Tribolium castaneum: one gene and its partners. The protein of the gene in region 1 purifies or fractionates together with the protein of each later gene. This does not show direct contact. Links are inferred from orthologs where the notes say so. Each region holds a gene or a part of one and is shown in the gene's direction. Other genes may lie near its edges.

Region 1 (6,393 bases):
GCAAAAATTCGGTAATGCCGTAGTGTTATGAGTTACGACTATGACACTCCTAAAGCTTTTATAATTTTTAGAATCTAATCTGTTACTAAAAATATATTCTCCTGTGATAACTAAACATCATTTATTACTTTTTAGTGCTTCTTTTAAGTAAATGCTCTTTTTAAAAACGTTTTTTAAATTATACAGAGTGTCTCAAAATTGGTGAATTCCGAAGATTCGGAGCTTCCCCACAAAGATACATTGGTTTAAAGATTAATCTTTGAACTGCGATTTCTTCAAATCCAAGCTAAAAGTTTCAGTGTTTATTCTTATTTATTAATCATTTAAAACAATTTCTCAAAAAATATTTTCCACAATCATCTGGATCATAAACAACAATCAACACTGAAATTTTTAGCCTGCATTTAAAGAAAACGCAAAATAAAGTGCACCTGAAGTGTTTCTTCCAACCAATGTAACTTTGTGGGAAGCCTCGAATTTTTATTTTGTTTCTACATTTAAACTACTGTGATTCTCTACAACACTCTGATCTCGGAATTCGCCAATTTTGAGACACCCCGTATATTTTTTGAATATAGTAGTTGTAAAAATCACTTGTAATTCGGATCTGTTAATAGTATTTCAGAAAAAGTAAGATGTAATTCATATTTTACTTTTTTCAGTTGTAAGTAGGTTTTTAAGAAAAGTTCAAGTGAAATTCAGTGTACCAATTTTAAAACGAAGCTTTTACGTAAGCTAAACTAAGAAATGCACTGATAATTAAGAACATAGCTTTGATGTTTTGTATTTTAAATTTTAAACCCAAAATATTTAAAATTTTATTTCTGAATTACAATTAACGTTTCCTTAAATACAGTTTACTATATCCCATTTCAGTTCATAGTAGAATTGCAACAGTGCATTTGAATTTTTTGGTGTGAAAAATAAAGCACAAATTGAGAGATTCTGTATAAGAAAAGAATTCTGTGTTAAAATAAATCCCAGTGACACGTTTTGATCTAAGAAAACCCACCAGAAACTCTAAATTTTGCTCCATTTGACTCCAAAAAAAATGTAAATGCGTTGTTGTAAAATTGTACTGTGAACGAAAATGGGATATAATCTGAATTATAACTGCCTTTTTCAGAAATATACTTGACTCTTTCTGAAACATAGTTGAAAAAGGTGTATAGAAAGCTGAATAAAATTTTAATTCTTTGTTAATAGTTAGTGCACTAGAAAACGTAAGCTGTATTTTGGATGTCCGAATAGGCGATCTCCAAAACTAAGAGGTTTAGAGAAAAACGAGTGAAACATTCCGTTTTTTGAGAGAATAATTTTGGTCAAAACCGCATCCCGCTATCGTCTTTTGTTGTCGACTTATAAAAAGAAGTGGACATTTTAGCGAAATCTTAAAAAATCATATCTTCCTTATTATAAAAGATACACATTTGAAACAAAAACATTATACAGGCATTTTTTTTCAGAGAATTTAATAATGTTATCAGCGATTTTTTTAATCATTCGTTCAGCTGTAATAACATAGTTGTATTTTTTTAAATGAGAATCATAGTTGGCTATGACATTTTCGAAAAGCTAATTTTTTTCTGAACTCAAAACAATATAAATATAGTTTGATATTTTTATATATTTTTGATAAAAATATATTTAAAATATTTGAAAGTAGTCGGCCATGGAAAAATTATTTCACATAAAAGGTATGAATAATCTAGAAATTTTGTGAACGTTTATTAAAGTAAAAAATGTGATTATAAAAATAAGCTGTGTTAAAGTTATTTTCATTTAAACAAATATACGAGCGTCGCGGATTTTAATTACATAAGAAATGTGCAGAAAATTTCAAACAATGTATCACTACCATTTGATGCCACTTTTTTATGATTTAGTAAAGTGCAAAGGAGGTGACGTTAATAATGTTGTGTATTTTTTTTACCGCAGATGGAATTTGATTTTGGTGTTTGGATTGATATTTTTTTGTAAAATAAAATTTTATTGATAAGCAATCATACAATTAATAAGATTTTTCTTCTTCCGACATTTCATGTTTACAATAGGAAAATAGAATGACAACGTAAGCTTGCCATTTTAAATATAAAAACAAATAATTTTTATTAATTGCAAAAATTTGATCTAATAAAAATTTATTGTGCTGTTTTTGAATTAATTAGTGTTTAAAAAAATCATTAAATTATAAATACTTGTTGGGTAATACAATTTTCATAGTTTTAATTAAAAATCCAAAATTTTTTCATGGCCTACTATAAAGAAAAAGCGAAATGTTTTGTTTTTTCTTAAATATTTAAAATTAATGTATTACACAAATAGACATATCAGATCAGAAAAAAATTAGCTTTTCGAAAATATCATAAAAACTTTATGTTATTACAGTTAAACGAATAGTTGAAAAAAATTGCTGATAACATTATTAGATTCTCTGAAAAAAAATGTCTTTGTTTTAAATGTGTATCTTTTATATTAAGGAAGATATGATTTTTTTTTATAAACATAAGTGTTTAAAAGTCGAAAACAAAAAAAGATAGCGAAATTATTTTCTCAAAAAACTGACTCGAAAATATGTCACTGGTTTTTCTCTATACCTCTTAGGAGATCCCGTATTCGAACATCCAACATGCAGCACCCTGTACAACATACAGCGGGTAATTTTTAACTGGAATAAAATTCATAACTTTGATTTAGGCGATTTTGGTGAAATTCCCGAACAGATCAATTTTTATTTTTTCTTGCCCACTATTTGATGCATATGGTTTTTGTTATCTGTTGTCAGAAATGCACAGCCGCCTCTAACCTTTTTTTTCAAATGTAACGGTATGTCAACTGACACCTCGTATGAAAGCTCTTCTCGCAAGCATTACAACGCACTATTTGTTTTTTGAATTTTTTCAAAGCCTACGTGATAAAAAAAATAAGAACCAATTTTTATAAGTTGAACATTATTTGATTTGATTGTTCAAAATGGGCACCGTTCCTCTCTTGGGAAATAACATGACGATAGTAGCATGAATTTCTAACATTTCTAGTGTGATTTTCCTAATTTTAATTTATAAAAATTGATTTTCATTTTTTATCGCGCAGGCCTTGAAAATATTCAGAAAACAAAGAGTGGGTTGTATTCCTTGCAAAGTGCTCTTTCACATGAGGTGACACTTGACATAACCGTTACATTTGAAAAAAAAAGTGTTAGAGGTGGCTGGGCATTTTTGAAAACAGATAAACAAAAACCGCACCAAATGATGTGCAAAGAAAATCAAAAATCGACCTGTGTCAGGATTTTTTTACAAAAATCGCTTGTATCCAAGTTACAAATTTTATTTTAGTCAATATTTCCACACTACTTTAATTTTTTATCACTTGGGCATTGACAATATTTAGAAAGCAAATAATGCGTTGTACTGCTTTCGAAGTGCTCTTTTACATGAGGTGTCACACGACATACCGTTACATTTGAGAAAAAAAGTTGGAGGTGGCTGTGAGGTTTTGACAGCAGATAAATAAAAACCATATCGACTAAATGATGGGCAAGAAAAAACAAAAAGCACCTGTTTCTGAAATTTTTACAAAAATTGCCTATATCCTAGTTATGAATTTTATTTCAGTTAAAAATTCCACACTGTATAAACTGTGGTAAATTAACGACAATTTTTATATATGTTTTTTACAAAACAACAATAATTACATACTGTTTATTTCAGAATGTCATTAGAAATAATAATAAAAAAATTACCTAAATAATATTTGTATTGAAGTATTATTTAATTGTACACTCTTATTTCTGAGATTATTTATGTAACCAACTAATAGGTTATATCTTATATCAAATTCACCGTTAATTAAAATTGTGCACTTTTTAGTAGGAAATTTAATTCGCTTCAACGTTTTTGATGAACTTTCTTTGTTTTTTTGTTTTCTTAATCCTCTTCTCAGCATTTTGAAAAATATGGGACAAGTCAAAATTTTTTTAATTTTTAATAAGTATTATTATTTATTAATTATTACGCTCAATGTTACTGCGTTTTTTCCAGGCAGTTTAACGTTCGATGTGCCCTAATTTTTACTCTACCGCACTAATTTTTTAGATACAGAAGATCATTTATTTAGTATTTAGTCTTCGTAACCTTCTATTATTTATAAACACAATCATTTTTTCACAATGTTGTAACAGTTATCGTTACTTAATTTTAGCATAGCTTCAATAATGTTTTTTTTACAGATATGCTGAGGCCGAGGCAGCTTTGTTACACTCCAATAAGAGCAGCAATGACTCCGAGAATTTCGACGACATCACATCAGAATACGGTGATCAAGCACCATTCGCTTTATCTTTATTAGGTAACATAGCTGCCAAAACCGAAAGAAAACCTCGTGCCATAGATGCATGGAAACGAGCCTTAAAACTAAATCCATTTCAATGGTCAAGCTTCGAAAATTTATGCAAAATAGGAGATAAACCAAACCCCCAAAATATATTCCAAATAACAGGTGTTGAAAATTTATCAATGTGCCAGGGAAGTAATATTAACAATATCGAAAGTGTTGTTATAACAAACAACAATCCAAATCAAGATAATCAAGAGACATACGCCACAACTCCTCAACAGATTCTTGTGAATTTTAGCCCCAATGTCGTAACTTCGAATTCGAAATTGTGTACACCTGATGATAATCCAATTGTTACACAAAATGTGTGGCTGTCGGGCTTCGCCCCCTTCACGTCGAGGACCAAGTTGCTGAGATTTCGGACGGATTCCTCCAGTAATGTAAGTTATTTTTGATGGATTTTTGCACAAAATTTTTTATCAAATTCTAAATTTGTGAGTGTTTTCTTCTCACTGAGTAAATCGCATGATTTGGAATATTTGTTTTTATTTACAAAATGAAAAAACTCGAGAAATTTTGCCAAGCGAAGATATGGAAAATTAGATATGGAATGAACTCGTATTTTTTCTGCCTAGGTAGAATGTTCTCGGTTGCTCTGGAGATGTCTTTCTTGTGTTTGAAAAAAATGTCCAAGTCTACTCTCAGTCTTGAATTATACTTCATACCTTTCTCTTTACCATATGATATAAAAAAATTGTCATTAATGTTTTTCGAAGAAGACTTAGTTTGATTTACTTTAAATAGAAAAAATAGCTGTTTTCGTAAATTGAATAAAAAAACACAAAAATAGTGTATTATTAATTATTATACGAGTTTTATAAGACGTTCTATTGTGGCACAAATGGTTTTGGAGCACGACCAAGGAGTGCTCCAGCATAATGACTGCCACAATTAAGACTTATAAAACGAGTGTAATATACTATTTTTTCTACTTTTTATTTTTGTTGTGTTTTTGTTTAGTTTATCTTATCGAAATCTGTTCAAACTATTTCTTCTTAATTTTGTTAATTATTCAGTCTTTATCAATAACCGACTTGACACTATTGACAGATCACACATTAAATTATAGTGATGACTGATGACATCCAGCCCAGCACTGCCAACTCCTAAAAATTTACTAAAAGTAGTTGCACAAAAGTTCTCTTTAGTAGAAAAACATATTTAATAAAACAAAAACAGTTTACAATTAAGTGTGCTGTTATCAAATTTAACAGATTGTACGAGTTTGTGGAAAAAATTCTGGATTTGTTTCGGCTAAATTATGCCTTTCACAAAATAATTTTTTTAAATGGATATGTTCAGATTTAGAAATCTAAATTTACATATTAACGAAATTGTGATAGTACATAATAAAATAACGCATTTTAGGAGTTACGTTTATTTTGAGTTGAAAATCTTTCTTAAATTTCTCATTAGCTTTTTAAAAATTGATGTTTAAATTGTTATTAAAACTTAGCTAATAACCTAATAATGAATAAGGCAAATAGATCGTAGAACATCTACGTAGTTTAGAAAGCTACAACCAGCAAGAATTTGGATACCTACATCTATCCAACTGTTTTCGTTTTATGAAAAATTGTTTTTGTGTTTTTTTTTTCATTCAGTTTATTAAAACTGGTATTTTGTCGATTTAAAATTAAATTAAACTTAATGTTAAAATTTTTTTTGTACATGAAATATTTTCGGACCGAAGTTTTATATAAATTGTGAGTTCTAATTCATGAAATGCATTATTTTCCATTATTTTGATGTATTTAAAACCTTTGGTAACGAAAAAAAATCCAAAATTCGAAATAATATACTATAATGCAAACAAAATAAAAGTTCGTATGGTTAGATAGAAAATGCGTTATTTTCACAATTTTAATAACTTTAGGGCTTTTTTCTCCGAGAAATTTCCAGAATTTGATTTTTTCGCCAAAACAACGAAGACATTTTTGAATTGAACTTTTTAAATCAGAAAATTGGAATATTTTGTCCAACCGAGACAGAAAATTG
Region 2 (6,069 bases), on another chromosome or scaffold:
CAACAAAACTGATGTATTTATACAGACTGATCCCGAAATACTGTGTCTGTTAGCAATCTGAATTTAAATTTTAAAGGATACCAATAGTGTACACTTTCAGGTAGCAATTCAATAATTTAATCTGATGCCAACATACTCAGTTTCTCTGGATCATTGTGTATATTTAGACAATGTATTTACACATATTATTACATCTGAGTATGTTTATGAAGAACAATTCGAGTTAAATTAATTTTGCCTATACATTCCAGCACGTTATTATTTTTTCAATAAATTTTTATTGGAAAGACTTTGTTTCATTTTATTAAGGGATGTTAAATGTTTTTGTGCTATTGCAACTGTTACAGATGCTTTTTTATTAAAATGTTTCGTAACAGTGCATGAGTACAGAAACATTTAACATTTATAATTCTTTAAATTTGGAAAATAAATAAAATGTCCTGTTTGAATTTCCCGCTATTATCGAATTAGTTCGTTCTCCCCGGGTTAGGTGGCGCTTTCGCGAAAAAACGAGGGGTAGACAGAGAGATTCGCTTCTTCCTCTCTCTTATTCTATGGTTTTTTATTGTTCTGACGCGATCACTGGATCACACAGCCACATTTGGGACCAAAATAAACCTCTGATTGGTGCGTCGGTCATGACGTCACATCATGGCCGAAATTTGTTTTGATTTTCAAAAATTTTACGAATTTAATCCACCGAAGCGAAAGCGAGGGAGTAATTAAAAAACTTTGCATTTGACGAATTAAGCAAATTGTTAAACATGACGGTGCCAAGAAATCGAAATTAATTTGGTAAATTGTACCCTCTCTCTCTTATTCTATGATTGTACCGAAAAAAGTGCGAAAACCAAGGTTAGTATAGACATGGTTGCGTTGTGACTCTGTGAGGAGTGGGAGAACCGCCATATTGCTTCGTCAGCCAGATGGCTAACGTATTATTGCATTGTTTACATGCGATTTATATCGTGTTTTGGGAAAATTTACATTGTAAAACAATGTTGGTGACTTTTATGAAGATTTCAGTTGTAAAACCATTTAAAAACATGAGCGACAAAAAAGAAAGGTGATAGGGATTCTAAAAATAATTGAAAAGTGGCCAAAAAATCGGAAAACTGCATGATAGTTTACAGTAACGAATTGTTTTTTAAAAATATTATTTTTTATTTAAACACTCACCTCCATTATATGACACCTATGGTATGTAAACTAGAAATCCGGCTGTGTGCTTTTTGAGTTTTCATATTTTTTTAAGGTTAAATGTTGTTTATTTACTTGATAATATAGACTGTAAATCTGGTTGCCCATCAGTCATCCATAAAAATCGACAATGTTATTTAGGTTACAATAAATTCATCGCTTCGTTCAAATGTTAAAAATGTTTCTGTATACTTATTCTTATCTCTCTCAGATCTTTTGATAACAGCAGTTTCATTTTCTTTGCATCCACTTCCTATAGTGTAATTCACTAGTGTAAATTGTTCTTTGAACAATTGTGCTATTTTAAACAGCGACCTAAAGTCCCTTTGAATTTGGATCAAACTGACTTCAAGGAAGAAACGGATTACTTTTGATTAGAGGTTGAGAGGCAAATAGTTTTTACCGCAATAAAAGTGTGGCCACATATCTTTGGAATGGCGTATATTAAAATTTTCATTGTCCTGCAATTATAATTTTCTCCAAGTCACACAAAGTAGCAAAAAATTACGTATGAAATTCAAAAGTGCCATCTCAGTGACGTTTTCGCGCGCCGTCTATTGATTAGTTTTAGGAGTTACGGCACAACTATGTCTTTAAACCATTGGCGAGAACCGATTTTTTAACCGTCTAGTCCGTTTGTTAACTCGCCAGAGGGCGCTTTTGAAACAAAATATGTTCTTTAAGTGCAATCTTACCTTTTGTTGGGCGTTTTTTTCACTTTTTTTACCCCCTGTAGAATGTGGTTAATGCAAAGTTTTAATTTTTTCCTAAGATTAGGCGGTTTAGTGGCTAAAATCAACTTTTAAATGTTCTAACTAAACTGTCGCCAGGTGTCGCTTCAAAAAATTTCTAACCGCTTTTTGCGCTAATTTTAACGATTTTTTGGTTCATCCGTCGCTTTTTTCGTCGCTGAATGTGTGTATGCGTGGTGCAGGGCGAAAGAAATTTTTTTTTGAGTTTCATTTGGCGTTTTTTCGGTGTGCCGTCCCCGGGTCCGAGATTAAACGCATGTGATTGGTGGCAAAATTCAAATTTCGTTGTTCATCTGTTTTCTCTAGAACGCCAAGTTTGATGTTTGTTATCACGATTGTCAGGTTGTTTTAGCGTCGTGAAATCGCCAATTTAGTCGATTTCTTGTGATATTTTTAATTAAGGGCAAGTGCCGGAGCAGTGAGTCGTCGTATTTCGTCTCGTGGAGTCGTTTTTGGTACGTTTTTTTCCGTTTTCAGATGTCAAACAATGTGGAGAATCTTTCGCCCCAGATCATCCGTCGAGTGGTCAAAGAAATGGAAGATCTAGTCTCAAATCCTCCCGAAGGGATCAAAGTTCAAATAAACGACGAAGATGTGACCGATATTCAGGCGTACATTGACGGTCCTGCAGGTTAGTGGCCCCTCTGTCCTGGAAACGTTGTGCAAGCTTCCTGTTGCAGGGACGCCGTATATGGGGGGCGTTTTCAAGGTGAAGCTCACTCTGGGCAAGGGGTTCCCTCAGGAGCCGCCCAAGGCCTTCTTTCTGACGAAGATTTTCCACCCAAATGTGGCCGCCAATGGCGAGATTTGCGTCAACACGTTAAAAAAGGATTGGAAGTCAGATCTCGGAATTAAACACATATTACTGGTAGGTGTTCCGGTTTTGAGTGTTTTTGAGGTTATTGCGCTTTTTCAGACCATTAAATGCCTCCTCATTGTGCCCAACGCCGAATCAGCCCTCAATGAAGAAGCCGGGAAACTGCTCCTCGAACAGTACGAAGACTACTCACAGCGGGCCAAAATGATGACGGAAATTCACGCTCAGGTGAATTTTAGCCAAAATCAGTGAATAGATCTATAATTTGGTTTTTTAGCCCCAAAAAATTTCAAAAGGTTGCAGCGGGGAGGGCCCTCTGGCTAAGAAGCACGCCAGTGATAAGAGTAAACTAACAGCGGAGAAAAAGAAGATACTTAAAGACAAGAAACGGACGTTGAAGCGTTTATGAAAACCGTTACTGCCATTCTTGTTTATTTCTTTGTTTTAACTATTTTTTTTTAATTATTAAATTATATTTTTTGAGTATGCAAGAATGATTTATTAATTTATATGTGTGCTACAGTTTGGTTGAGACCTTTTCATTTCGTGTTATTTTGAATGTAGTGCATGCACAAAGTGCAATTTATTCATGGTTCCAATCAAAAAATAAATGTTAGGCTCAGTTGGTTTTCCACCAGTCAATTACAAAGTGTCTGCAACAAATATTGAAACAAACCGGAACATTGTTGGCCTCAACATCAAACATAGCTGAGCCTTAGGATGTATTTGTGGTAGAGAATTGTGAATTATTTATTAATAAAAACTGAAAATCAAATTATTGTTTTAGTGAGAGACCAAATCCATTTGAAAAATAATTTTATAGACCATAATACTACATATTTGTTTACACATTTATGACTGAATGTTTAGTTACATCATATAGCATGAATGACAAAGAGAAGTAGTTTATCCTCAGACGCCAACCGTACCCACAATTATGTACATATCTTTTTTATAACAAAATAGATTAATACTTTATTTCCTGTATCTCTTTCAAACTTTAGAACTCATTTAACTTGAAAATTACTCCATAAGAACGATGTTCGATTAGAACCAACGATCGGTTATAACTGTTATAAGTTACAACAAATAAATTCTCTAGTCCCTTGGGTGCTCGTAATAACCGAGTTCCACTGTATTCCGATGATGGATATAGGCGATGTAGTATAAAAAGGAATTAATTTCGTTTCTTTCATTGTATTGGCCCCGAAATGAACGAACACTTGTGAATGCCACCAAATTATAAGTGTAAGAAAAGTTAACATACTTAACTTAAGTCAATCTTGGTTTTGCTATTTGTGTGGCAAAGCTGTCTCGAAATCCGTTTGTAGCTAAATAAAATTTGTCCATTTCCTTGGGTAAAATATCGAGATGTGGCTCGAGTGGTACTAAAACTTGTTCATTTTTAATTTTGAGAAGACAAATGTTTGATCCATCTTTGGCCATGTATCCTTTCGAAACTGTTCTTCTGGAAAATCAAATATGTAATAAATAGGTAACATTTAAATTGTTTAAAAAATTCGCAAGTGATAAAATAAGGTAGCTCTGAGGACCAAATCGAAGAAAAAAAATTCATCATCGATGTCTTCCTTTACTAAATCCAGTGCAGGACTTTTAAATAAATTATCCAAACAGGTGGAAAAATAAAATTTAAGTCCAAAATCGGAGTGAATGACTACCATCTCAATTTTTGGTTTATCCAAATAAAATTTTATTGTGTTTGATTGATATAATGTTTGCGGTGAGATTGTCCCATGGAGAAGTCCACAAAAATTAATTTTGAAGGTGAGATATTATTTGTAAGGATACTACCTGGGAAGGGTTGGTGCTTAGAAAAAGTATAGAAAGTATTAGTTTTATTTTTGTTAGAATTATCTGCGAAAAACAGTATTGAAGAAGAAATTACCTACACATTTTTCTAAAATATATTTTTTATAATGGAAGTGTTTCTGGAAGATTTCTTACATGAACACGACAAGAAATATGAAATTAAAAAAGTTTCATTCGATCTCAAAAAACGCTAACTCTTTGGTCGCCGTAAGTTTTTTTGTATTCTTTCGTCTTGTGCAGATGTAAATAGAAATAAAGAAAGTTTTCAGCTTGTTTAACGGTCCCATAAAGTGTCTTTGCTCTCAGATTTATGCTTCTTTATAACGTTTTTCACTATTCATTTGATCCAAGTATTATAAAAAATAACACATGGATATTTATTGTGGGCACAATATGCTTAAAAATTATTGAAACTCAACTTTAACAACTGTGTTTTCTAAAATTGCAAATTTTGAACATTCCCACCACTCACGTTTTTTAGTGATTTTCTAATTATAATATTGGCGCATTAAGAAAGAAATGGCCCTTCGATAAGTCATGGTGGTGGTTATACCAAAGGTTTGTTTTCGTGAAAAATGTTAAAACCGTTGGATTATAATTAGTGCCGTTGTTTTGTTAATAAAATTGTTTGGAAACAATTGAAGAAATTTGAAGAAACGTTTGATGTTTCGAAAAAGGCGGGAGGTTAGTGGCACAGGTATTAGGTGGTTCGAATAAAAATGAAGTAGATGCTAATACTAATACTACAGTATAGTGGAGTAAATACTTCAGGGGAAGTAAATGCTACTTTTTTTGAAGTAAATACTTTACTTCCGAGAACAAAAGACAGTTCAAAGTACTTTCTGTTTGTAGCAGATACTTCTCATAGTAGTACCTACTTCGAACGATGAATGAGATTTGGCTTGTCGAAGACAATAACACGTAGTTTTCGGACAAACAATTGCTTGTTAAAAAATTAAGCAAAATCGAAAAGATAAAGTCCTTTATGTGTAATTATCAATAGGTGTTTAATTTTTTCATTGCTTTTTTCTTTTTTGATTTTTTTAAATTTATTTTTAAATTTTTTGTTATACGTTACAAGATAAGATAAAAAAGTATACCATCAAAACTAGTAAACAGAAATGAGTGTTGCCATTTAAAAAAATTAAAAATTGCGTCAATACTCAAAAACTAATGTCACAAATGTTACAATAGTGTCAAAATGTAGTATTTTTAAGAATAAAATCCTCCTGTTCGAGGATTTTTTGAAAAATACTTTAAACTCACTCTGTACATGAGAAGAATAATTTGTTTAACTTTAAACAATAGAAATGCTTTGGTATAAAAATCTTAAGTATGTGTAGTAATGTAATAATTTCTAGAAAAAATACACAATTTTTATGAGTAGGTATATTAATACAATTCTTACCTAAATATTTTTTATAAGTTCTATTGTCATAATTTCTTCTATGTTTTTTCCTGCTACGCTGT
Region 3 (7,193 bases), on another chromosome or scaffold:
GTTTTATTTTCTTGTTTAGAATTTTTGGGTTACGAGCAAGATTTTGGTAACACTGAGGACTGCCCCGTAACACCTTGCAGTAACCCCAAGCGACAGAAACACTCAAGTGCCGGGACGGACGAGGATTGGTTGTATTTAAGCAATTCGGACTATGCAACGAAACTAGACAAGTGTCTCAAACATACGTTGCTCCTCAAATGCAACTCAAATCCCCCCAAAAGCCACACTAGGACGCTTCAAATTAATGTTAATTCGCTCCTTTTCCCGTTTATTCGCTTGATTTTGTATTGTTTACACTTGTTGTATGAAGATTTGAAGTTGAATGTGTTGCGATCGGATGACTTGAAACTGTTGGCGATTTTTTTAAATAAGATAGCCAGCGATTTAGGGATGGTTGAGTATGTGGTGCACTACTGGAAAGATTTTCCCGATTGTTTCTCGTTAAATTCGAACGGATATATCGCACCAAATGAGTTAAAACAAGTACATGAGTATCCGTTTATTGGCGAAACGCCGGCCAATATTATGCAGTTTTTGTGCCATTTGATGCAAAAAGGGGAAGTGGCGCCCTATCCGTTTGTAAATCATGTCAACAATAAGTCAAAGGACATCGTGCAGGTAAGTCTCGTCTGTTGCGTTTTTTTTATTTATATTTAGTTTTTAAAGAAGTGAAAGTGAGAGATAAACGAATAGTTTTTCAAGTAAAATATTCGAGTTGTTTTTAATAGATTTGCGGCATCATCTTTAAAGAACTTGGCCACAAGCCGGCCAATTTGCTTAAGCTCATAGAGCCCAACATCACATCTAACGGTAGCCCAGTTCTTCAAGAAGAACCATCTGAGCTTTCGCCACCGGAACAAACACTTCTTTTAATGACATCGAAAAAAATGACGGTTCGAGATTTGGACACTTTACCTCCAGCGATTTACCTCCTAATATACAGCACATTGTGGAAATGCCGAGATAACCCTCCCTCGGACTTACCTTCAGACGCTTATTACTTACTATGGCGCGATGACCTCGCTGTTCAAGCGCACAAATTCCACAAAGAAAAACCCGAAACGACTTTAGAGAAAATAGGAATGTACACAACCCACGAACTGCCAGGCATTGTCCTTACGTCCAAACCGGTCGAAAGTGAGCAACAAGACGGAATGGACGACATTGAAAACCCCTTAACCAAGCTGCGTTTTCCGGACGATATGCGAGTGGCCGAAGCCCGGAAAATGCTGCAAAGCTCCAAACCCGTCCCGATTGTCCTTGTGCAACGACCGGACGTGTCCGATCATGATTTTATCGAAGAGGAAGAAAAACACTTGTTTGCGATCTGTACCAGAACCATGGCCCTGTCAACAGGCCGAGGGATGTTCACTTTGAGAACCTCGGCACCGGTTGTGACCGAACCGCTGCAAACACCGCCACTGTGCCTGACCGGGAAGGCGCCCCCGCGGGGCACGACAGTTGAGCTAAACCACATCGATACGCCCTCGAATATGAATTTGTGGCCGTTGTTTCACAACGGTGTGGCGAACGGTTTGAGGATAAATCCCGATGCGCACAATGTGGACAATACGTGGATTGTGTTCAACAAACCGAAGGGTTCGATGGAACAGCAGATGGAACATGCCGGGTTTTTAATGGCCTTGGGCCTGAATGGCCATTTGAAAAATTTAGATGCGTTGAACACGTATGACTATTTGATTAAGTTGCACGAAATGACGAGTATTGGGATTTTGCTTGGGATGTCTGCGGCTTTTAGGGGCACTTCGGATTTGGGAATGACCAAGACTTTGAGTATACATGTGGAAGCTATGCTGCCCCCGACATCGATGGAGCTTGATGTGCACCAAAATGTGCAAGTTGCTGCATTGCTAGGTCGGTAAAAAGCATTTAAAATTATTATTACTTTGTGTTATTTCAAGGCATTGGGTTAGTCTACCAAGGCACTTCGCACCGCCACATTATCGAAGTCCTGTTATCCGAAATCGGGCGTCCGCCAGGCCCTGAGATGGAAAACAGCGTCGACCGGGAATCATACTCACTTGCAGCCGGATTATCGCTAGGCCTAGTAACTTTGAAGCAAGGCAGTTGCTCTCTGGGCTTGTCAGACTTGAATATTTCCGACCGCTTGCACTATTACATGGTCGGTGGTAACCGACGTCCCTTAACCGGTACATGACCACATGAAATCAAACATTTTAACTGGTAATAATTTACAGGCGCACAGAAAGACAAATACAAAGTACCGTCGTTTCAAATCCGGGAAGGTTCTTCCATTAATTTAGACGTGACAGCACCGGGGGCCACGATAGCTCTAGGCCTTATGTATCTAGGAACTGGCAATAAGGCCGTAGCTGACTGGATGGCGCCGCCTGAAACACAATATTTGCTTGATTTTGTGCGTCCTGACTTTTTAATGTTTCGGATATTGGCGCGAGGTTGTCCCTCAAAATCACGTTGAAAATTTTTGATTTTTTGTTCCACAGCTTTGATTCTTTGGGATGATATTGTGCCGAGCAAGGAATGGGTCGAGGGTCAAGTGCCGGGTACCATCAGGCCCTACTGTATGCTAAAACCATCACCGAATTTGGATATTGATTTTGAAGCTATGAAGTTAGTGATTTGTACGATTTTAAGGAAATAACCGTGTGATTTTAGCCAAGCTTATTGTAACATTGTGACAGGAGCTTGCTTCGCCTTGGGTCTCAAGTACGCGGGTTCTGCGGACGAAAACGCCTTCCAGACTTTGCTCCACTTCTGCCGCATGTTTACCAACCTGACGATCAAATCCATAGCTGAATTAGCCGGGAAACCGACCGTTGAAACCTGTCTCAATGTCCTGCTATTATCGAGCGCGATGGTACTGTGACGATTAATTGTGGTTTTTATTTGAAAAAAAAATTGTTAAAGGTGATGGCGGGGACTGGTAATCTTGAAATCATGCGTTTTGTGCGACTTTTACGCCGCCGAGTTGGTGTAGCTAGCAGTTCTGTGGTCACGTACGGTTCACACCTGGCAATGCATATGGCCTTAGGTTTGTTGTTTTTGGGGGGTGGGAGATACACGTTATCTAACTCTCCGGGGAACATTGCGGCCTTAATATGTGCTTTTTACCCGAAATTTCCAACTCATAGTAACGATAACAGGTAACGAAACGGTTGTGTAAAAGTAGGAAAAATATGTAATATTGCTCCAGGTATCACCTTCAAGCCTTCCGACATTTGTACGTACTGGCGGTTGAGCCGCGTCTAATAATACCAAAAGATGTTCATTCTGGTAAATGTTGCTACGCCTCTTTGAGTGTCGTTAAATTGGACGGTACGAAAAGTTTCGTAAAAGCACCCGGGATTATCCCCGACCTCAGTATGTTGAAAGAAGTGGCGATTGAGGACGAGCGCTATTGGCCTGTGGTTTTCAAGAGGAGCCAAAATTGGAATTCTCTCATGTAAATTAATTTCTTCGTGAAAAATCAGTCATGTTTGGTTTTTAGAACCATACTCTCGACTAATGGGTTCGTTGAAGTCAAGCAAAGGGCGGGCTGTTTGAGCTACATTGCCGATAAATTGGGTTATCACAGCCAGTTGGCCAAAACGTTAACTCAGTCTGAGACTGTACCGTGGAATCCTTCATCGTCGTCCATCCTTTCGTTCACACACGACCAAGCTATTAAGTATTTCTGTGATCATTTTCTCTCAACTGATAAACTAAGTCCGCAAGAATTGAAATTAACACGAATGCTGACTAAAGCGACGTACGACGCTGTCGTGAAAGACAAACTTGTTGTCATACCGGTTATTAGTTTTCTGTTAAAGGTAATGTCAAGACTCATGTATTTATTAAATAATGATTTTATGTTCAGGTCGTTCGTGATATGAGATTGTTACCAAACGCCTTGAACTTTTGGCAAGTCAAGTTGCTGTTTGCACAAATAATATCAACTCCCTTAGCTTGTAATTTAATTCAACCGGAAGTAATGTTGGCCATAAAGCAACAAATGTTAGAAGTTTTAGAAGATTGGGAACCTGGCTTGGCCCCCGCCTTAGAAGCGTATACAAGGGGCGCCGACTTGGCTTTTGATAAAGAAACCTTGAATAGGCTAGCCATGTATGTGATATTTTACGATATACCATTTAGGGAAAGTGCAGAAGGTGATCCATTAGAAGTGATGCTTAAACTTCAAGACAAATATTCCGTTAGTACCTTAGAGAAAATTATGAGGCTAAGGATGTGAAAGAAGCTGTATTTTTTATAAATAAATGTGAAATAAAACTAATTTCAAGGTTTAACATAATTTTTATTTCGAAAACTGGGAACATATCGTAATACAGACTATAAAAATACAAAACGTGTCACTAACACAATAAGGAATGAACTAAACGCATCGGTTGAAACTTAGAAGGAAAAGGGTGATTGTTGTTGATCGGCCATATTAGGAGTAGCGAACTGAATCTCCCCATTTGCTACAGTAACAGTGACTCCCTCCTCACCCTGAAACCTCAAATTACAAAACAATTTACCCACAAAATAACTCACATCGGCGAAATAATTCTCGATAATGTGCAAAGCCCGTTCGTAGACTTTCTCATTGTCGTGACTTTGCAAGGCCTCAATACCGTCCAAACCGCCACACTCCTCAATCATTATGGCCACTTTCTCGGCTTGATTTAACTTGGCAGCGGCCTAAAATCGACAATTAGACAAAATTCCAACACAAATTTTTTTTCACCGATAAAATGTTATTCAATCCCTCCAACACCACGATAATAGTCTTGCTATCTTTGGAATTCAGGAGATTACACATGGGTTTCAACGCCCCCATTTCCACAAGTTGCGCCAATTGGGCGGAATTCCCGCCACTTGTGAAATTAGTAACAGCCCAAGCTGCCTCTTTTTGCGATTTAAAGTCGCCCTAAAAGTCACGTTTTAGGAAAAATCGGACAAAGCGTGGCAACAATACGGTTTGTAGGACGTGAAGAAGATAAGGCAAAATCCCGGCATCTAGGACTTTTTGGATTTGCTCACTATTTCCGGCAGTAATGTTTGAAACTGTCCAGGCAGCTTCTTTGACAATGTTCAGTCTACTGTGTTGCAATAAACGGATCATACAATCTAAAGCCCCGGCATTGATCACCATATCAGTCTACCAAACGAAATTATTAATACTTTTAACAATTGATTGAGTGGCCTTATACCTGATGGTCGTTTCCGGTCACAATGTTACCAACGGCCCTCAAGGCCGGAGTTAGGACGGTACTTTCCTCACTATACAAAAGCATAACTAGGCGGTCAATTAAACCGGTGTCAAGCACCGCTTGAATTTTCTCATTGCTACCATCGGTTAAATAACTCAAAGCCCAGCACGTGTCGGCCAAAACATCCTTATCGTCATGCGACAAAAGTCTCGCCAAGACGGGTAAAGCCGGCTTGACTAACTCAAAATCGGGGTACGGATTTTTATTGCGGCAAAGATTAGAAATAACCCACACAGTATTGCGTAACAAGGACAAGGTAGTGTTTGGTTTGATTAAGTTGATAAGACTGGGCAAAACGCCGTAGTTGAGCACCAAATCGCGGCTCTCGGGCCCATCACCTGCAATGTTACCAATCGCCCAGATGGCCTGCTCCACGACGTCGATGCGGTTTGAGGAGAGCAGCTGTTGGAGCTTAGGAAGGGCGCCCTCCTGGACCACGGCTGCGGTCTGCTCGGAAGTGCCAGACGCGATGTTCGTGAGGGCCCAGCAAGCCTCAAACACCAGCGATGGGCTGTTTAAAAAAATTAATAAGATGCAAGGCTAGGCTCTCGCTTACTTGTGGGTCTTGCCCAGGAACTCGACGCATCGCGGGACAACCCCCAAGCGGATCATGTGGTCGATTGGGGGGTTCCGCTCGCGGCTGAGCATTTTGCGGCAGGCTTGGGTGGCCTTAAACTGGAGGTTCTCGTCAGGGCTCATCATTCCTGTTATCAGGTCATTAAAATGGGGCAAGTCGGGAGTGGGGTTATTACCCATCAAGATTTCTTCGGCAGACATGGTGATCAGCGACACGGAGTTGTTCTCCTGAAGGGGAGTTGAGGCCTCTTCTTGCAACGATATGTTGCGCCTCTTCAACAACTGGTCTTCCTTTTTTGCTTTCCGCAGTTCGATGGTCTGGCCGGCCCGTCGGCGGCGCATTTCCTACACGAGAAGTCTCAAAATCGCAAAATTGCACATGATTGATACTCACTTCACAGTCTTTTCCCTTGTTTTTAAACGAACGGATCCTGTTCTCGTCTCCCATTTTTCTGGAAGTTAGAAACGTGCAACAGGGTCACTGATAGGTGAAGAACAAAAAATTGATTTGATATTTCAAGGGCCTTTTTTAGGTTAATTCATCTGATTCGGGCATTGATTATCTACTCACCTATTATATTTAAACTAGGCACCAAAACTATTAAAACTATTAGTGAATAGTCTCCACAACCGATTAAAAAATAAAACGACAAAAATTCTACGGTCAAAATTTCCGTTGCAGTTCCTGAACGTCACACTGACAATTAATGACGGGCAGCCAATAACGAGCAAGCTTCACTTGGCCAATAGAAAAGCAGTCCCACCAAATTGGCCAATAGAATTATCAAATTTGGAGAATTATTTGAATATGAGTGGATGGTGCTTCGCGCCGATTTATAGCCAATCCAATTTCGGAAAATTTAAAATGCGAAGGTAAGATTGGGCCCAACTCACGAACAAAGAATTACCATTCTGTGAATTAAATGCCTTAATTTTTCGACATTTCACTTAAAGAGGATTAAAAAATAAATAAATAATACGAGTGCAAAAACACAAGTTTAAAGCTCGACGACTGACGTTATGCAACGAACGTATGCGAGTTGCATGCTTAGACCCTCGAGAATTGCTGATGACGCTGCCGGGATTGTAATGGATTGCCGGGAGTTAAAATACAGTTTTTTTTCCCGATCCCGAATTTTAAAAAGCGAGCGTAAACCAATGCGCATGCATGAGCAGCCGTGCCATTTGGTTCTATTTCTTGCCCATGTTGGTGGCGCTGAACCCACCAAATTAGTCACCAAAAGTTCACATGTCCATTGTTGTGCAAACTTTTTCGATTATTAATATTTCGCTTATAAAAAAATAAATCGGTCTCAAAAATGGCTCTTCACGTCCCTAAAGCCCCGGGCTTCGCCCAGATGTTGA
Region 4 (6,946 bases), about 15 Mb from region 1:
ATATCACTTTTCAATACCGCATTTATAGATTTTAATTGCATTTAAGTTTTATGAAATTATTGGTTTGTGAAATAAATAAATACGACACAGCAATAAAATGCACCTACCTTCATATCGCTTCCACGTTGGCTACCGTTTGTAGCATTAAAAAAAATAATAATAAAGATGAAACCAAAAAAAATGTTTATTTGCATTAAATTTTGAGCAAGCCACTTTCATTCATTGAAATTAAAGGCAAAATTTCGTGGCAATAAATTATTTGAGTGGTTTATTTTATTTATAGTTACTGTATTTAAAATGTGTCACTCAAAATATCACTTTTCAATACCGCATTTATAGATTTTAATTGCATTTAAGTTTTATGAAATTATTGGTTTGTGAAATAAATAAATACGACACAGCAATAAAATACACCTACCTTCATATCGCTTCCACGTTGGCTACCGTTTGTAGCATTAAAAAAAATAATAATAATATAAATGAAAAAAAAAAAAAGGTTTATTTGCATTAATTTTGAACAAGCCACTTTCATTCATTGAAATTAAAGGCAAAATTACGTGGCAATAAATTATTTGAGTGTTTTATTTTATTTATAGTTACTGTATTTAAAATGTGTCACTCAAAATATCACTTTTCAATACCGCATTTAAAGATTTTAATTGCAATTAAGTTTTATGAAATTATTGGTTTGTGAAATAAATAAATACGACACAGCAATAAAATACACCTACCTTCATATCGCTTCCACGTTGGCTACCGTTTGTAGCATTAAAAAAAATAATAATAAAAATGAAACCAAAAAAAAATGTTTATTTGCATTAAATTTTGAGCAAGCCACTTTCATTCATTGAAATTAAAGACAAAATTATTACGTGGCAATTAATTATTTGAGTGTTTGATTATAATTTTATTTACTGTATTTAAAATGTGTCACTCAAACGCGATCACTAGTCACCGAATTGAAAATTTAAACCGGAAAATTTAGATTTGTTTGAGCACACGTCCGTTCGCGACAACGGCAAGTAACAAACTGAATAAATTGAAGGAAACCGCACAATACACAATAATTTAAATAAACCGACCCGACTCACCTCGCCTCCTGCTTCCCGCTCACGATCTGACCCGTGCCATTGCTCGCTGTCGACTGAAGCGCTCTCGCCGCCTGCGCCGCACACCTAACCTCGGGACACGTCACGGATGTGACGTCACTTAAGTCTAAAACAAGTCATTACCAGAAATATTCACTGGAAAAATTCGTCAAATTTAGAAACATTCATACACAGAATTATTTAAAATAGAACAGCATTGATCTAAAAAAATTAATTATGACAAATGTATTTGCCTATAAACGTCTAAAATTATAAAAGTTTCGCATGCAGTCAATGGAAAAATAAAAATGCATGTTTTTATTTAAACAGAAACTGGCAATGTGAAATTTTGGTGCGAAAATTAGTGGTATCGCAATGCGTATAGCAACATTGTTTGTTTGTTTCGTTTTGTTGAAAATTCGGTAGGTTTCAAAAGTAGGGTTATGTTGTCACCCGAAAATGACAAAATTTACACTTTTATGAATTTTGTCTCCATCTCTGCCCTTTCAGAGCGTTATGATAGGATATTTAGGGTCGAAATCTCTACCTTTATTATGTGCTATTGCCAGATAAGGACAAAAGTTCAGAAAGTAGGGTTAGGGTGTATTATGCTCTCTTCTGAAGTGTTAAATTTTAACTTTAATGTTTTTTGTGTGCTTTCCTGCTCTTCTAGAGCGCTATTAATTATTATTGAACATGTTTAAGGACAGACAAATCTACCTTGAGTCAACGACATAAATTTCAGTGAGATTTATTGAAAAATGCACTTCTCGTGTCAACCTTTTCATGAAAAAGGGTGTTTAAACGTTTATAAAGGGTATGTTAACGTGTGTTGTTAACTTTACCACGTAATAAAACATAAAGTATAACTTGGTAATTTTTTACTTTAACTACTTCTGGATTTTCAAGCTGAAACTTACACCAAACGATTCCTCTGAGTGCCCTGATGACCGTACACTATGAATTTTCTTGTGCAAATTGAAAATTACATTAGAAAAATAATTTTTATTTTCACTCACTTTTTACTTGAATCGCCATTTTTGTTGATTTTAATTTGAGTTTATTTTTTATAATATCACGTTAATTTTTATTATTATAGTGGATCAAAGTGTCGTCTTTAGGTTAGACTATTGCCTACTATCGGTTAGGAACAACATGATCTCCAAAAATATAACGTAGTAATGAGCTCCAGAAGGTTTACGTAGATAGGTGCGTTTTTCCCAAAAGTGAGTTTTTTGAGATCGAACCGCAAGTGAGTCACACTGCGAGGAGACTCCCATAGACAGAAGTTGCAAACATAAGGTGCCAGACCGGTGCCAGTTTGGCTGATTGCAAGTATGTCTTTATCATCGATTCGGTGACGACTATTAGTTTCGTAAACTTAATGGATTTAATAAATATCTTTAACATTAAATGTGATCGTGTCATGTTGGGTAAAATTCTTCCATCTGTGCTGTCTGTGGATCCACCTTTTCAAATACAATTAAGAAATTTTCATAATAATTGTATTTGATAAGGTATTGGCATCATTTTGACGTGAGCAAAAATTAAAAAAATATAAAGTAATCGGAATTATTTTAAATTTGCGCCATTTTTAGTACGTGATGATGCGGCTAGATGGCTTCAGCTAGGAATTCATTGCCAACCATTATGTTCCGCTTCTATAAAAGTGTTATTCTAGGAACAGAACCTAAAAGTTTGTCAGTTTTTTACGTTCAGCAATTATTATTTTTACAATGAATAATCAAAACCTGGACTTAAAAAGTGCGTGGATTACGATTAAAGAAGCTTTTCCAATCTTAGAAAGTCCTTCAAAGATCCCTGATAATGATTTCGACTCTGCCCCTTTTGAGGCAATCAGCATTATCAAAAGGCTCAATTTAACACAGCAAATTCAGGATTTGGTCATAATTAAAATAGAAGAACGTTTGAGGAAGGAAATAGTCCCAGATTTTTGGTCCCACTTTAAGAAAACCGAGAACGAGGCGGCAGTTTTTCACGAGTTCTACAGTGTGGTTAAATTTTTGTTTCACAATTATGTGCAGCTCGATTTAATTATTAACAAGTTGATACTGTTGAGAGAAGCAAGCAATTTCACTAAACCAGTGTACAATCAAACTTGCCTGCATGAAGCTTTAAAATTAATCGTTAGGGCCGTCTTGTTATCCCAACTCCCCATTGATCATGAATGGATGATAGTAAATTTTTACGAAACGGCGCTTAAAATGCAGGACCCGGAGGAAGAAAATAGCACAAGTGGGGAGTGTGTTGTGTGCATGCAAGAGGAATTTTCCTGTTCTTGTCGTGAAATGTTTGAAGAAACTAATAAGTAAATAGTTTTGTTTTTTATTTTTTTACTCAAATATTTGTGTCTAGGAAATTGGGCAAGATGACTTTATTGGAACCGTTAGTTGGCCAGGCTCTCACTGATTTAATTTATAGTTACATTCAGACACATATCCAGAAAATCTGTAAAGACAATTTTGATAATTCGCACATTGAGAGTCTAGAAAAGGTAGAAATCAGTCGTTTCTTGAATCGATTATACGAATTATTTTCAGTGGCTTCAAACGGTTGTTATTTCATGGTTGAAAAAAATTTACTTTCATAATTCGGCAGTCAAGGCCATGGATGAGTTTGACAAAAAACTAATCAATTATTTATACAACACTTACACCAAAATACGAATAGATCAGTTATTTAACATCATAATTGGTAAAAATTATTGTTTTTGTGGCAGTCTGTCATCAAATATTTTCAGAATATCCTGATTCTCTTCCGGCCCTTGACGACCTTCGACTATGCCTTCCAAAAACCGACCTAAAACCCCACTTAACTCGGTCGTTGCAAAAAGCAATTGAAACAAGATTATTACATCCAGGAGTAAGCACGTTTGACGTTCTGACGGCTTACGTGGCTACAATTCGGTCATTGCGGATTTTGGACCCCTGTGGACTGCTTCTAGAGACAATTACTCAACCGGTTCATCAGTATTTAAGGAGTCGGGAAGACACAATAAGGTTTAATAATTAAAAAAAAATGGTCTAGTTGGCATATTTGACGTTTAAGTGTCAAATTTTCATAGCTAACTGGAATTTCGGAAAGACAATAAATAGTGTAGTTGGCCTTGAATGACATTTAAGTGTCAAATTTCCACAATTAAGGGGCACTTTGTGTACAATAATTCCGAAATAGGGCGAAATTTTTAATACAGGTGTGTGGTGGGTAGTTTGACTGAAGAGGGCCCAAATGATTTAGCTGAAGAGCTGGTCCGGGGCGAAGCCGTGCAAGTGGACGAGAACATTTCGGTCGATGAGGGGGTTGAAGACTGGGAAACGTGGACCCCAGATCCGGTAGATGTCGTCCCCAGTAAGTGTCTTTTTATCGCTTTGAGGGAAATCGACGTTGGCATTTCCATAGTTTTGAAACAGAGAATAGTCACTTTTGACAAATGATTTTTTCTTCTTACGGTGACAGTTTATTTAAATTTAATAATTCTAGTGCTTAGTCACCAACCAGCAAACTAAATTATAAAAAAATATTTATTTTTGAGTTATTTGTTACAAAAAAATTGTACTTATTAACTTGTTTAGGTGCTAATTTCCTATATTTGCAATTCATGTCCTCCCCTCCTCTCCCCTCGGTCGTGCTGTAAACCACCTGCTTATGTGAAAAATTGCTTTTTTAAACGATTTATTAAATAACGACAACTGATTTTTTCCATTTACATTTTACATGATTATTTATTGTCCTCAAGAAGCCCAAAAAGTTGACGAAACGTAAGCAACAATTATAAACCAAATAAGCTTTGTCTGCCTTCCCAATAATAATTAGACTTATCCCACGTATAATATAAATAACTAATTCCCTCGAAAAATTAAGGCAAATCTTCGGGACTTCCCCGCACTTCTGACATCATCTCAATGCTTGTCAACGTCTACGGCAGTAAGGAGCTGTTCGTCAACGAATACCGCACCTTATTAGCCGATCGTCTTTTGTCGCAATACTCCTGCGACACCGAGAAAGAAATTCGTTATCTTGAACTCCTGAAGTTGCGCTTTGGTGACTCCCAACTCCACTTTTGCGAAGTTATGTTGAAAGATATCGCCGATTCGAAGCGAATCAATCAACATATTCAGCAAGACTTGAGTTATTCAGACGATGATATTCCCATGTCTGCCATGATCCTAAGCGCACAGTTTTGGCCAGCGTTCAAGGACGAGAAGCTTGAACTCCACGAAAAATTGGTGAAACAGATGGAGAGTTACACTGGTGCTTTTGAAACTTTAAAAGGTAGCAGAACCCTGTGTTGGAAAAATCATTTAGGAATTGTGGATCTTGAAATTGAATTGGCGGATAGGACTTTGAATTTGTCGGTTTCACCGGTGCATGCGACGATTTTGATGCACTTCCAAGATCAGAGTGAGTCAAAAAGATCAAGATTTTAAGCGACTTATTTTTTCGTTTCAAGATACTTGGTCTTTGGAAGCTTTGAGTAAAGTAATGCACGTTCCGTCGACAATTTTACGGCGCAAACTGAGTTTCTGGCAATCACACGGGATCATAACTGAGCCCGAACCCGACGTTTTTTATCTACAGGAGGAACAGGAAAATAACGAAAATAATATACAGGATGATATTGTTGTTGAAGATTTTGAATCAGAGTCGGCGATGGCCAGCGCTCAAGACCAACGCGAAGAGGAATTACAGGTAAAAAATCTATACAAATTGGCTATAACTTTGAAATTACGTTGGTAATAAAGTCAGTTGTCAATGCTGCCAACCTAATTTCAGTATCATAGGTCAATCTGTACTGAAGTTTATGGGAAAACATGTTATTTTTTTTAACAGACTTTCTGGTCGTACATTTTGGGTATGTTGATGAATTTGGACACTTTACCTTTGGAGAGAATCCACCAAATGTTGAAAATGTTCGCATTCCAAGGACCCACAATTGAGTGCAATTTGCAGGAACTGAAAGTGTTTTTAGATAGGAAAGTTAGAGAGCATCAGTTGATTTATTCAAACGGACTGTATAGATTGCCTAAATAGCTTTATTTTATATTTATAAGTCTTTGCATTTTGCTACCTACGTATTCCTATGATCCTAGTCCATAACTCAATTTAAAATTTTATAATTTTTAGAGGTTTTTGTATTCAACCAACTATACGACGGAAAGCAGTTGGATTGCCTATTTTTATGAAAGTTAGCAAAATTTTGGACAGAAAATGTTTAAGACAATGAGTGTATATCGCGGACCCCAATTATCTTATGCCCCAAATATATTTGGGGGGATAATTTTTTTTATTAAAATAAGAAAAAGAGCGCGCAAAGTATAAAAAATAGCAAAAAATACTCGTTTTACAACGGTTTTGGCGCTTACGGCTCATTTTCTAACTTGGCATTGTGCGCCAAATCAACTCTAAAATTGTTTTTTTAATATAAAAAAGTGTGCTTTTTGTAGGTAACCAATTATACAAGGTGATATTGTCCATTGCCTGTCTTAGTTAAAAATTTTAGCAAAGTTTAATAATTTAAAACCGGTGACTAAAACCAAAAAGTGTATTAAGGTCACAAGAAAGCATTTAGTTACCTCTTTACTTACAAGAAAAATACCTATAAATAGTAAATACCACTGCAGTTTGTTTCGTTTGCAAAAGTGGCGATTTTTTTAATCTCAGAAAAATGAAATTTGTACAATTTTGTGCAAGTTCATAATATTAATAAATAATTTATTAAAAAATTGTCTTCCTTTGGGCTTCTACGCACTCACGGTGGTGGCCTACGTGACGTCGCGCTCGCCTCTCCACTTGTCGCATTATTTCTGGTGGGGAGTGCAAAATAGTGAATGTGTTAA
Region 5 (5,261 bases), on another chromosome or scaffold:
GGAGGTTTCTTACAAAATTATTGATCTTATTTAAAAAATTTAACGAAACATTATACTTAGATGTTTGGCCAATATGGGAGATTACTCACAAATGATGATTGCCCGTTTCAAGATCTTTGGATTTTAGTCCGAGATTGGCTTGCACCCTACGAAAGGCCATTTGGTATTCCAGGGGGTGAGTCTTTGCTTCAAGACAGGCTTTACGGTCAACATGATGCGCTTCCCGACGAAATAAATGAGCAAAGAAATAATGTGCGCAATTTATTTCAAACAATTAATTGCTCCCTGTTACCATTTCCTGGAGAGCGGGTAGCGGCCGATCATACTTTTAACGGAGATCTAAATGGTTTCTAAATAATTATATTTCCAAAACTGAATTTAACCAATGATTAATTTCTAGAAATTAATGACAATTTTAAGCGATACGTTAAGCAACTAGTTGAACGCATTTTTGAACCAGAAAACCTGGTAATAAAACGCTTTAACGGAGAAGAGATCACCGCCAATGATTTATTTCAATGTTTTGGCACGTATACTGAAATACTTGGGGATGGTTTACCACATGTTGAAACAAGACTAGCGGTATAATTAAGCGCTTCAGTTTAAAAAATTTGAGAAAACGCCACATGTTTCAGGCGACAATAAATAATCAACATAACGACGCTGTTGAAAGTTCTTTTGAACTATATGATCGACAAATGCATCATAATTTTTCCTCAATTTTATTACTTAATAATCACCACGAATCTTGTAAAACAAGAGCACTTGACAATTATCATAATACTAGATTATTAGGAAGCAGTCTCGTGTATGATAGATACGAACAAAGGCTTATCAGGGTAAGGACATCAATTAATGTTTTTGTAGGTATAACTATAATTATCTCTACGTATATCTCGTAGAAAATGGACGAACGGTTTTCGATTTACAGGGAAAGATTCGATTTTGATAGAGATCGCCAACTTGAACGTGAACGACGAAGAAATCAACAAGTGAGTCTTCAGCAGTTCAGACCATCACAGTCTTCGAGCCTCGTTTCACGAGAATCCCTTTCAACAGAAACGATAATTCTTCAATCCTTGCGTATTGCAACAGGACTTGCGGCAATTGGTTTTGGCATTTATGAAATAATTCGTCAATCATCTAGAGATACAGGAAATTCTAATACAAATAATTCTTCTTCCACAAGGCGGTACTCAACTGATGACTCTGATTCTACATAATCTACTAAAACCGATCTTTGTTAATATTTTGTATCTTATTACTTTTTTGGTAGTTAAATAACTTGCACCAGTGTCGGCCACTTTAAATAAAAAAATAAGCAGAAAGTTTGAGGCATTTTATTTGTGACAGTCAATTTATTTACAACCTCCGGTAACCCCAGCTTTCTGAAAACCGCGTTTTTAAAACCATTCACGTTTCTTAATCTTTCCCTGTGATATATGGTGGAGGCGCCGGGTAAAGACAAGTTTTACAACTACGTATACGCAACTAGTTACATTATTTTAATGATTTTTAGTGTTTTGGAACAAATTAGAACTATATGCATTATTCTTAAGCTCAAACAAACTTTTATCAAAAATGCAGCCTTTCATCTAATATTTCCATTTAAAAGCTTAGTAATATTGCCGCAATTTATTTCAAACAATTCAATGTTCTCTGTTGCCATTTCCTATACCTACATGTTTTAGTTTTTTTGGTAGTAATAAACGACCGACCAGTTGCACATATTATTTCAACGTTTTTTGTATTTTTATAAAATAATTACATTACTGCGTCTTGCGACGACGACTTTTCTTCTTTTGCATTATCAGCGAAAGCCTCATTTTGCGTTCAAACATAAACTCAAATGTGCTTTCAACTGACCCTCTTCCGCGATGCATATCATGAGGATTACTGCAATTACAAAAGTTTCAAACCGAATCAAATTCGGCACAGACTTACATAAACCAAGAAGATTTGGCAGCTGGTAAGCCCGTCGCGTGTTTCATTTCCCTCACAGAGGCAGTAAGTGCCATCTGAAAACAAAATTAAAAACGAACACCACTTGCACGCACAAATACTTCTTTGATTTGTTTCCGTCTCTCCCAAATCTTTAGATTTTTCTTCAGCAAGCCCAACTCAGCTTTCTTTTTCACATACTCTAAAACAGAAGGAACCTAAGGTACGATAGCCAAACTCACTTGCTTAATTCGAGCAAGAACCTCGTAATTTTCACTCTTGGTTTTAATTTTATCGTGCTCTTCCTTGGTTGCCTCCAGTTCTTCGGAAACCTTTTCACATTCGTCGTCGATTTTCCGAACCAACTCCTCTTGCATTTTGATTGTGTCTTGATACACTTTTAGATCGGTCACTTTCTTGAGCAGATGCTTCTTCTGATTGCTCAGCAGTAAATTCGCGCGGCCGTTCATTCTTTTCAGTTCGAGAAGCAGCAAATTCCTTTTATCGATTTTCTCCCTCAAGTGCTTATTATCAATTTCGAGCTGCTCAAAATCCACCTCTTGCAAGTGCTCGCCCAGTAACTTCTTCTGCGTTAATTGAGCGCATATTTTCTGGTACTGCACTTTTAGAGAGCTCGTCCTTAGGCGCAGTTTATCAATCGTAGCGCCAGTTTTTTTAAAAGTTTCGTCCATAAACCTGTCCGGCACACCACAGTCTTAAAATTAGTTTTTTAAGTGGGGATGTCTTTACCGACAAAAACGATCCGCTGGATTCTTTTGCGAATACTTTTCTGATAATTCGTTAGTAATAAATGTTCTTTCAAACGTATCTTTGATTTCTTGTATTTCACTTTCGCGAATTGCCATTTCCTCCAACTCTGCTTTCAATTTATGCCTAATAACGTAGCACTTTCTGTTGATTTTATTCAACGCTGCTTGAATATTGTCCATTTCTCGCAGTATCAAATCAGTCTTCTGCGTAATATTGATTCTTAAAATAAATATCAGTAAATTTAAATTCGCGCCAGGCACAGCGTCGCCAATTATTTAGAACAAAACTAAAAGAAACTAGAAAAAACGTTTGGAGGTAAATTTATTTGTGTTCATTTTGGCAATTTGCTGAATCACTGTGCTCCCAAATTTAGTAAGTGCCTTTAACAGCTGTATTCTAAGGCAGAATATTTGTATTTCTTGTTAGGTTTTTTGTGTAAAATTGCCATAACCCCACTTTCTAGGAATGGACAGTTCAGTGACTATTGATGGTTACTTTGTTGATTTAATTGACGATAAGTGGCGTTCCGAGAAGCTGCCTCACGACGATATCAACGTCCCCACGCACGAGCTCGCCGACCCCGAGGCCGACTCCGGAGACATCCACTTAACCCTCCAGGAGCAAGAACAAAAGTGGACCGACATTGCCCTCAGTGCACTAAGCGAACACCAGTGATGGAGCTCCCCAATTTAGGTCAGCAATGCGCCCATTCAAACTGCCAGCAGTTAGATTTTCTCCCTTTACAATGCAAATGCGGCAAACAATTTTGCTCGGAACATTTCAACAAACACGTCCAAGTGTGTGAAACCTCAACGAATGTTGAGGTAGAACCACAAAAAATTCAAAACGTGTTCAAATGCTCGTTCGAAAATTGTCACGAATCTAGTTTGGTCCCTTTGCTTTGCTCCACTTGTCGTAAACATTTCTGTATAAAACACCGGCATATCACCCAGTGTAGCGAGCCAGACGAGGAAACTCTCGCCCAAAAAAGGGAGAAACTGGCTGCGCCTGTGAGGCAGTTCAATGAAGCTAAGAGCGCGGTTGATAAACAAATCGAGCAAAATTTAATCGCGGCGAAAAAGAAGGGTAAAAATTTGGCAAACAAAGTACAACTCATGAAAATTAAAAATAAAGCGAAGGGGTTAAATAGTATTCCAACTTCAGACCGCGTTTACTTCAATGTTACACACCCTGAAACGGGGCACGTGACCCCCGTTTTCGTTTCAAAAATTTGGAGTTTGGGGCGCGCAATCGATGCAATTGCAAGTGAGTGTAAATTGAGGAATGATAATAACAAGAGTGGTGAAAAAAAATTAAGATTGTTTAAACAAGATAGTGGTGAAATTTCGAAAAATCTGGCGGACGGTCTTGAAAAACTGATCAGTGATGGTGTTATTATGGATGGGGAAAATCTTATAATAACTTATGTAGATGATAATTGAATAAATTTTTCAATCATACCTTGGTCCTTCTTTCTCTAATACTGTGGGGGTTATGGAACTTGTTGAGTATGACAAAATTGTTGACTGGCGCGAAGCTCTCGTCAGTGTCAGTCTTTTGGAAGAAAGCGAGGCACGGTCCTGGATTGTTTGGACGTTTTTCAACACGTTATCCATACCTGCACTTTCCATGTTTTAGTCATTACAGCCGAGGTGGGAATATTTTAATACGTGTTCATATTCAAATTACGGGAACGAGATACAAAATAAATCACTTTTCTGTATTCAGAACTACAGAACAATCCTATTTATCGAATTGCAGACGTTCTAAGCAATGTAATATAATGTTTATTAATTTAATTTTACCTGGAAATGATAAAAACTGCAGAAAACTTAAATGTTAATTAGGATTAAGGTGAATTTTTATGTTATTGTAGTTTCCTTATTTTTTATTTTGTGGTGTATATATTTCACCTTTTACTCATTAGCCTCGAGGATAGACGAAGCCCGAGGATGTAATGAAATTCCTACCGAGTTTTGTACGCTATTTTATCCACAATCACACTTGTTTAAATTAACGAATACAGAAAAGTTGATGCATTTAGTTGCTATTCAAATAAACCTCTTGACCAAGGGATGCAATCACGTATTTCCCGACAGTGATTGTGGATGTAGAATTTTATAGTTTATTTTAAACCTTCGAGTAGTGACGGTTCGTTTTTTTCCAAAAAGTGGAGGAAAACCATGTTTTCCAGCTCCAAATGTTTGGCACTTTTTTCTAATTCCGTTACGGCATTAACCAAAGCGGCGTTTGTCATATCTGAGGTTTCAAATTAAATTTGGTTTAGAATTATGGGCTTTTTACCGTCCAACGGGTTTCGAAAACTGATGGTGCTCTCAGGAACTGAGGGGCGTTTAAATATGCTGCTCATTCGTTTCGAGGAAGCTCTACTGCGTCTACCTGAAGCTAGAATTTGAAATTTTTGTTACAACTGATTGGAATAAAGACTTGAGCTCATGGTGATGTCTGACGATTCTATCCCTAAACTGGAAGTCTTGCTGGTTGTTAGTGTAGTCCGACTCATACTTTTCTTTGACAAGATTGATTGT

What was found.
Region 2: the proteins of Cdc27 (region 1) and ubiquitin-conjugating enzyme E2 S purify together in Homo sapiens (affinity purification with western blotting; 4 studies listed by BioGRID, with this or other methods). This does not show direct contact. The link is inferred for Tribolium castaneum from reciprocal best matches to the Homo sapiens genes CDC27 and UBE2S.
Region 3: the proteins of Cdc27 (region 1) and shtd purify together in Homo sapiens (affinity purification with mass spectrometry; 16 studies listed by BioGRID and IntAct, with this or other methods). This does not show direct contact. The link is inferred for Tribolium castaneum from reciprocal best matches to the Homo sapiens genes CDC27 and ANAPC1.
Region 4: the proteins of Cdc27 (region 1) and mr purify together in Homo sapiens (affinity purification with western blotting; 20 studies listed by BioGRID and IntAct, with this or other methods). This does not show direct contact. The link is inferred for Tribolium castaneum from reciprocal best matches to the Homo sapiens genes CDC27 and ANAPC2.
Region 5: the proteins of Cdc27 (region 1) and anaphase-promoting complex subunit 13 purify together in Homo sapiens (affinity purification with mass spectrometry; 5 studies listed by BioGRID and IntAct, counting the BioPlex papers as one, with this or other methods). This does not show direct contact. The link is inferred for Tribolium castaneum from reciprocal best matches to the Homo sapiens genes CDC27 and ANAPC13.

Annotation. Positions count from the first base shown.
Region 1 is NC_087394.1:14,529,318-14,535,710, reverse strand, and holds part of Cdc27 (cell division cycle protein 27 homolog), read left to right. Parts: intron 1-4,228; coding exon 4,229-4,775; intron 4,776-6,393. UniProt on the Homo sapiens protein: Component of the anaphase promoting complex/cyclosome (APC/C), a cell cycle-regulated E3 ubiquitin ligase that controls progression through mitosis and the G1 phase of the cell cycle.
Region 2 is NC_087395.1:19,970,707-19,976,775, reverse strand, and holds ubiquitin-conjugating enzyme E2 S, read left to right. Parts: upstream 1-2,076; 5' UTR 2,077-2,370; intron 2,371-2,429; coding exon 2,430-2,583; intron 2,584-2,632; coding exon 2,633-2,820; intron 2,821-2,868; coding exon 2,869-2,997; intron 2,998-3,046; coding exon 3,047-3,178; 3' UTR 3,179-3,544; downstream 3,545-6,069. UniProt on the Homo sapiens protein: Accepts ubiquitin from the E1 complex and catalyzes its covalent attachment to other proteins. Catalyzes 'Lys-11'-linked polyubiquitination.
Region 3 is NC_087397.1:4,707,502-4,714,694, reverse strand, and holds the end of shtd (anaphase-promoting complex subunit 1), read left to right. Parts: intron 1-19; coding exon 20-618; intron 619-728; coding exon 729-1,875; intron 1,876-1,922; coding exon 1,923-2,171; intron 2,172-2,219; coding exon 2,220-2,438; intron 2,439-2,486; coding exon 2,487-2,613; intron 2,614-2,658; coding exon 2,659-2,860; intron 2,861-2,910; coding exon 2,911-3,146; intron 3,147-3,196; coding exon 3,197-3,445; intron 3,446-3,490; coding exon 3,491-3,812; intron 3,813-3,859; coding exon 3,860-4,231; 3' UTR 4,232-4,286; downstream 4,287-7,193. Other genes in the region: Pen (importin subunit alpha-5), read right to left, coding at 4,393-4,488, 4,534-4,680, 4,727-4,909, 4,958-5,140, 5,193-5,763, 5,809-6,173, 6,223-6,276; CCT8 (T-complex protein 1 subunit theta), read left to right, coding at 7,148-7,193. UniProt on the Homo sapiens protein: Component of the anaphase promoting complex/cyclosome (APC/C), a cell cycle-regulated E3 ubiquitin ligase that controls progression through mitosis and the G1 phase of the cell cycle.
Region 4 is NC_087394.1:29,187,834-29,194,779, forward strand, and holds mr (anaphase-promoting complex subunit 2), read left to right. Parts: upstream 1-2,729; 5' UTR 2,730-2,824; coding exon 2,825-3,417; intron 3,418-3,464; coding exon 3,465-3,603; intron 3,604-3,649; coding exon 3,650-3,803; intron 3,804-3,849; coding exon 3,850-4,108; intron 4,109-4,302; coding exon 4,303-4,457; intron 4,458-4,970; coding exon 4,971-5,510; intron 5,511-5,559; coding exon 5,560-5,798; intron 5,799-5,939; coding exon 5,940-6,140; 3' UTR 6,141-6,159; downstream 6,160-6,946. UniProt on the Homo sapiens protein: Together with the RING-H2 protein ANAPC11, constitutes the catalytic component of the anaphase promoting complex/cyclosome (APC/C), a cell cycle-regulated E3 ubiquitin ligase that controls progression through mitosis and the G1 phase of the cell cycle.
Region 5 is NC_087396.1:19,124,781-19,130,041, reverse strand, and holds anaphase-promoting complex subunit 13, read left to right. Parts: upstream 1-2,950; 5' UTR 2,951-3,084; intron 3,085-3,175; 5' UTR 3,176-3,177; coding exon 3,178-3,387; downstream 3,388-5,261. Other genes in the region: atlastin, read left to right, coding at 1-4, 61-346, 401-582, 636-839, 903-1,223; AN1-type zinc finger protein 1-like, read left to right, coding at 3,387-4,154; uncharacterized protein LOC100142251, read right to left, coding at 1,772-1,896, 1,945-2,018, 2,064-2,159, 2,205-2,637, 2,692-2,931, 4,174-4,330, 4,849-4,971, 5,017-5,112 and 1 more. UniProt on the Homo sapiens protein: Component of the anaphase promoting complex/cyclosome (APC/C), a cell cycle-regulated E3 ubiquitin ligase that controls progression through mitosis and the G1 phase of the cell cycle.